Linked DNA regions of Danio rerio. The protein of the gene in region 2 interacts with the protein of the main gene of each other region in a pairwise test. Links are inferred from orthologs where the notes say so. Each region holds a gene or a part of one and is shown on either strand. Other genes may lie near its edges.

What was found.
Region 1: the proteins of txndc5 (region 2) and gmppb interact in a two-hybrid assay, tested with the Homo sapiens proteins (2 studies listed by BioGRID and IntAct). The two-hybrid records come from large-scale screens. The link is inferred for Danio rerio from reciprocal best matches to the Homo sapiens genes TXNDC5 and GMPPB.

What each region holds. Positions count from the first base shown.
Region 1 is NC_133197.1:41,298,755-41,302,254, forward strand, and holds part of gmppb (mannose-1-phosphate guanylyltransferase catalytic subunit beta), read left to right. Parts: coding exon 1-101; intron 102-2,574; coding exon 2,575-2,757; intron 2,758-3,500. UniProt on the Homo sapiens protein: Catalytic subunit of the GMPPA-GMPPB mannose-1-phosphate guanylyltransferase complex. Catalyzes the formation of GDP-mannose, an essential precursor of glycan moieties of glycoproteins and glycolipids. Can catalyze the reverse reaction in vitro.
Region 2 is NC_133199.1:8,160,573-8,164,072, reverse strand, and holds part of txndc5 (thioredoxin domain-containing protein 5 precursor), read left to right. Parts: intron 1-2,730; coding exon 2,731-2,880; intron 2,881-3,500. UniProt on the Homo sapiens protein: Protein disulfide isomerase of the endoplasmic reticulum lumen involved in the formation of disulfide bonds in proteins. Can reduce insulin disulfide bonds.

The DNA of each region.
Region 1 (3,500 bases), on a different chromosome or scaffold from region 2:
AAGACTTCCTGACGGGCATGTGCATGTACCTGCAATCTGTACGGCAGCAGGCCCCTGAGAGGCTCCGCGCTGGACCCGGCTTTCTTGGAAATGTTCTTGTGGTGTGAAGCTTTTTCTCATTGTTTTCTGCTCTCTGCACAATACTCTCACTCCGTCCTCTCCACAGGTTATGTATTATCAGGAGTTCACTCTTAGCTGATGATTGATTATAAAGCTTGTTTGGCATGCTGACCCGGGAGAGAGCCCTGAGCTCATACAACTCTAGAGCCTGGGGCTCCCTCATTTTGCAGGGAGAGAGGGGAGTTTGAGCTTAGGTAGGTCTGGAGAACTCCCCTGTTTTTATTTGTTAAAGACAAATTAGGGTTTGCTACAGATATACTGCTGGCTAAGAGCTCATCTGTGGTGCCAATTTAGGTTCACTGTAGTCGATTCACTTATCTCGCATGTGTTTGGATGGGGGTAAGGAACCGTCAAGAGCACAGGAAGAACGTGTAAACTCCACACAGAAATGTCAGCTGGCCTGGTAAGGACTTGAACCAGTGACATTCTTACTGTTAGGCAACAGTGCTAACCACTGGGCCACCGTGTCGCCATATCTAGGAAAAGGGGGAGGAGTAGAGGTGGAAAGGGGGATTCTTCAAGGTGAAGTTAACTCTGGTTATTTATAGTGAATTGGGAATGGTCTGATTGGTGAATCATGTGCTAATGCTAATGCGGGACCAGTCGTAGTCAATCCTTTCAAAATTAGTTCAACTTTAATATAATCAAGTCTTTTATTTAATAGAAAAATACTAATAAATTTACTGTGACAAATACTTGTCGCTATGGACAGACAATGAGCCTCTCGCCTATAAAACACTGAAGATTAGGAGTAAATAAAAACAGACCTTCATGAGAACTCTCTGGATTCACAAATGCTGTGTAAACATTCCTTTTCTTTTCTGCTTAGTCTCTTTATTAATCTGGGGTCACCACAGCGGAATGAACCACCTACTTATCCAGCATATGTTTTACACAGTGGATCCTCTTTCAGGCACAACCCATCTCTGGGAAACACCCACACACTCTTTCACACACATGCAAACTCCACACAGAAACGCCAACTGACCCAGCCGAGACTCAAACCAGAGACCTGAGAGCTGTGAGGCGACAGCACTACCTACTGCGCCACTGCGCCACCTGCTGTGTAAACATGACATTACGTAATTAAACATCTATGTTAATGACTTCCAGTTCCTCGTGTAAATGGTGCACGTGTACCCATTTACACAACTAGCATGGCCGAATCTCATCTATAAATTACAGCTACTTTACATTTTACATTTACATTTAGTCATTTAGCAGACGCTGTTATCCAAAGCGACTTACAAATGAGGACAAGGAAGCAATTTACACAACTAAGAGCAACAATGAATAAGTGCTATAGGCAAGTTTCAGGTCTGTAAAGTCTAAGAAGGGAAGTATTAGTAGTATTAGTATTTTTTTTTTGTGCAGTTAGTGGTATATTCAAAGAGGCAATTGCAGATTAGGAAGTGAAGTGGAGACTAAATAGTTGAGTTTTTAGTCGTTTCTTGAAAATAGCGAGTGACTCTGCTGTTCTGATGCAGTTAGGGAGTTCATTCCACCAACTGGGCAGATTGAATGCGAGAGTTCGGGAAAGTGATTTCTTCCCTCTTTGGGATGGAACCACGAGGCGACGTTCATTCACAGAACGCAAGTTTCTAGAGGGCACATAGATCTGCAGAAGTGAGAGCAGATAAGAAGGAGCAAGGCCAGAAGTCACTTTGTAGGCAAACATCAGAGCTTTGAATTTGATGCGAGCAGCAACTGGCAGCCAGTGCAAACGGAGTAGCAGCGGACCTAGACCTAGCGGACCTTTATATGCAGTGGAATGTTCTGGACTCCCTTCTAGGGTTTGGCTCCAACATGTTTGATAATTCCAAACAATATACAGTTAATGTGCAAATTAAAGTTCAAAATGTCAGGGTCTCTTGAAAACCTGTGGTGGTACATGTTGTTTTTTCCCAGCAGAGACGCATTGCTTGCTGGGATTTGTAATCCATGGCACTACGGGATTACAGGTGTCTTATTTTGAAGAGCATCACTGAATATAAAAATGCACTAACCAGGAATATTGACTTCTCCTTTGTTGCTCAGTCTCAATCCTCCTCCCCTGATTGGACAGCTGGGTAAAGAGTGACAGTGATTTGAGCTTTTACCCGGTTAAAGCAATGCAGAGACAGACAAAACAAAACAGAGTAGTAAAATATTCACCAGAACAAACACAGATGGTTTATGCAGCATCTAAGTGTGGTATTGGGAGCTGTTGTACCTTTCTTTTGTAGCTTCTAACAGAAATATAGTATGCTCATGTTTCACGAATGAGGCCTGATATGTGTCTAACAACATGAAGACGACTCTGGATTGTTATTGCCCGCAGGTTTTTACTGGACACTATTAGAGGCTGCAAAAACGTTAACAACAATCTTCTAAGATGTTGAGTAGTATGTATATTGTACTGCAGAATTTGATGCTTGTACTGAAATAATGAAACATGCCATAAATGTAACCCAGGACCCAACAGCAGTGATTGGGCAGAACTGCACCATTGGCCCAAATGTGACGATTGGAGCCGGGGTGGTTTTGGAGGACGGGGTGAGAGTGAAGCGCTGTACCATCCTGAAGGGGGCACACATACGCTCCCACTCCTGGCTGGAGTCCTGCATCGTGGGATGGAGCTCCTCAGTTGGGCAGTGGGTGAGTTTCACAATTTCAACAACAGAGCTCAAAGTGAGAGCGCACCTCTTCTGCAATCTGGGATCTGGAGTCATTTTTTATCCAATATATACAGAGCATCTGTGAAGTGTGGAGAGCGCTTCAGTTTCTGTCACAGCCTTATTCCAACATGGAGTGAATTCCTTTATTTCCTCAACATTCTACACACAATCCCCCATAATGAGCATGTGGAGAAGAGAGTTTTAGAAATTGCAGCAGATTTATTGAAAATAAGCAGCTGTAAGATCACCTGTACATCAGTGTTCACAGGCTTTGCTCAAGACTCTGTTGATGCTCCTTTGGCAGTGATTACAGCCTCGAGTCTTTCTGAATATGATGCTCGAGCTCTGCACCGCTGTCTTTGGGGATGTTCGCCCGTTCCTCTTTGCAGCACCTCTCAAGCTCTATCAGGTTGGATGAGAAGTGACGGTGTACAGCCATTTTCAGATCTCTCCAGAGATGCTCAATAGGATTTAGGTCTGGGCTCTGGCTGGGCCGCTCCATTGATATGTTGGCGGTGTGCTTTGGGTCGTTGTTCTGCTGCAAGATGAAGCGTCGCCCCAGTCTGAGGTGGAGAGCACTCTTGTGCAGGTCTTCATTCAGGATGTCTCTGTACATCGCTGCATTCATCTTTCCCTCTATCCTGACTAGTCTTCCAGTTCCTGCTGCTGAAACACATCCCCACAGCATGATGCCGACACCACCATGCTGCACTGTAGGGATGC
Region 2 (3,500 bases):
TGACACCAAAAAACACAGCAATCCCAAATGTGACACTTTAAAAGACGTCAGCGTAATTCTCAAACACGTCTGTTAAGTGTGTGTTTAAATTGAAAAACAATAGAAAAGTAGCGCATTGGAGAGGAATTGTTAGGTGTGAACTAGGGCTGGCCGATTAAAATCTGTATTTATTGACCAAACACCGTTGTCAATTTTGATTATAAAAATAAAAAAAATAAAAAGATTCGGTATGAATCACTATAATGTTACTAAAATGTGGCTGCTGAGCGTGTGCTTTGGAAGCAATGCCAAAAAGCTTAGAGCAGGGGTCACCAATCTCAGTCCAGGATGGCCAGTGTCCCTGCAGGGTTTAGCTCTAACTTGCCTCAAAACACCTGCCTGGGTGTTTCAAGTATACCTAGTAAGACCTTGATTAGCTTGTTCAGGTGTGTTTGATTAGGGTTGGAGCTAAAATCTTCAGGACACCGGCCCTCCAGGAACAAGTTTGGTGACCCCTGGCTTAGAGTGTAGGTTTATCATTTTCAATGGAGGTGCTCGACTTGCACTGCACACATATGGGAGGGACGGGCACATGCATTTTCAAGGCGCACTCAGTTGAAAACATATGATCTTTTCCAAATGCTGCAAGTGCACTACAATTCATGCAAGGACAATTAACCAATCTGCTTTACGCTTTATATGCAATATACACATTTCAGTAATAACGGCAGACTAATTACCTCAGACAAACACTGCGCACCCAAACACTACAGTGCTTTTGACTTTTCTCTATAAACTTGCATCAAAGCTGCAGCAATGGTTTGTCCGTTTGTCATCCTCTGAGAAAACGGTTGATGGTCACCTAGTTAAAAGAGATGCCAGGGTTTGCGCTTCTCACTTCAGGTCAGAATAACAACACATGCAAAAATAAGTGCAGTGGCTAGCAGCAGTGAGGAGATTGTAAAAAAAGTAATGTTTTGTGAACATATTTCGGGAGGAAGTTTCAGTATCGAATAAGTCATTGACAATTATTCTATTATCAAATCAGTTCTTGAACAAACCCCTATATATACACCAAAGCTGTCTTACCTGCAGCATCTCATGACTTTAGCATCCCTCCACCACCCCGACACCTCACCTCTTAAAGCCTGGTTTATACTTCTGCCTCAAGTGACCGGCGTAACTCACGGCGCAGGCAACGCGCGCAGCGGTGCATTTATACTTCTGCGCGCTGTCTCTGTTGGTCTGCATTAACACTTCTGAAACGCTAGTGGGCAGTGAGGTGTTAATGTTCCTCTGTGTCGAGTTTCTTCGATTCTGTTTTGCTTTTCTGAACACTTCCTGGATGTACAAGTGACTCAAACTCGCTCATTTTGAAGCAGGAACCGGCGGACGTGCAACAACTTTAACCATGAGGTAAACACAAAACAAAACTTTCCATCCGGAGCTCCTTCACGGGACTCCACACTTGTAAACAATCGCTCGCGCCATGCGCGCGGCTCTCGGTCCCGCCCAGACTCGTCGGCGCTACCAAGCCGACCAATCACAGAGCTTGCGCTATGCGTTGTTGCGACGTGTAGTTACATTTTTTTGAGAGGTGCACGTCAGCGACACCGACGGCCACGGTGAAGGGCTATGCGTCAGCGCCGTAGCATACGCGGCCCTCCAGGAACAAGTTTGACGCAGAAGTATAAATCAGCCTTTAGCATTACATTCCCGGGGGGAAGCGTTCTGGGGCCGGGCTAGATACTTCACTCAAATCCCAACTCCTCTTTGTTTCCTCATTGTACTTAAATACACCTTATACTTAAACGACTGCAAGTGTGAACTCATGAAAAAAGGATCGCCAGTGTGACTTTGGTTTTTTTTTCTTGTGCATCTCAGCCACTAGCTCCCCATCTGAAAGTTTTTTTTTAGCATAGGGGGTAATCTAGTCATTCAGCTTCACAATTTGTAATGTTCAGCATGGATTTGAATAATGATGGTTGGTTCCGTTACTTAACTCAGATTTTATTATCATAATTTTTGTTTACGGAGCTGTATCATTATTATTCACACCTTACATAAGTTGATCTGCCTTAGTTGCACACACTTTTGTAACATTTTATTTATCAAGTCTAAGAGTCTCTTCTTTAACGAGAGATCAGAGATTTTGTTTAAATATTTTTGTTTTTGACTATTAACTATTTGCCTTGGTAAAGTTTTGTAAATTAAAATAAAGTAGTTAAAAATCCTGATATTCCTAAATGTATTGTTAAAAAAATATTCAATAATAATCGATATCAAATGATATGAAACATGATGTATAGTAATATTTATTTTTGTGTGAACTGCCCCTAAAACACTGTGACAATAGAAAGACCAGTTATGCTTTTGCACAGGCCAGTTTGTTTTTTATATACATTCAAGTTTTGTATAAGTGAGTATTGTAGTCATTCTAAATTGTATGATTATTTTAAATTTAGCCTGAGTTGGTCATATGACCGAATGTGTATGTTTATTTGGATATTCAACATAATTTAAAATAGCTATGAATCGTATCCAAAAAAAAATTATGAATTGTTTTTAAATTGTCAGTAGGTGGTGTCATAAATGTTATTTATTTATTTATTTATTTATTTATTTATTTATTTTATCAGGAACCCCATTAGCTACTACCAAAGGGAGTGGCTAATGGGGACTATTCAAAGGAAATTATATTGTTTACACCGAACAACAATGGTAAGCTGTGTATACGCTGTATGTTTTCAGATCGATCAGTACAAAGGAAAGCGTGATCTGGACTCGTTTAAAGAGTTTGTGGATAACCATGTGAAAGCTGCTGAATCTAAAGATGAACCCGAGAAAGAGGAGGAGCACACTCACGAAATCCCACCCAGCGCTGAACCTGAGAAACAAGAGGTGTGTGACTGCATTTTCACACAATATGGGTTTTGTGTACTGCTTGGCACCATTCGAGATTTGATTCGTTTGTGTTTGCGGACAGATGTTTGAGCTGCAGACTTTTTGGCTTGTAGAAGCAAATTTGCATCTTGAAGCTGAGGTAGTAATTATGGGCAGAGCAGCTATTTCCTCCTGCTGATGCAAATGTGCATGTGTGCGTGCGCGTGGGTTGGTGGGCAGGAGTGGAAGGGGTGGGCGGGGAACTTAAAGGGCTGTTATTTTGTTTTGTTAATTGGCTTTCCTGTTTAAGCTTGTCTTTTATAAAGGGATTCTAGCAGGCTGGATTTGTTAGATGGCTAAAGAATGTCCCACATGGGACTCTTTTACCACTTTCTAAGTAAAGACAACACTTTTAGTTGGATGATAGTTTTAAATAGGGCTGTACTATATTGGAAAAATCTAGCATTACAATATTTTTTATTCTGGGATTAGACACATTGCGATAACGATGCTGAAACGATATATTGTACAGCCCTAGGTATAAAAGACTGTAAACCATCAGACTCGCCAATGCTTTCGAGATGAGACCTTGGTCTTAAACACCGTTCTGAAGTGATGTTGTAATTAAGGAAGCAGAT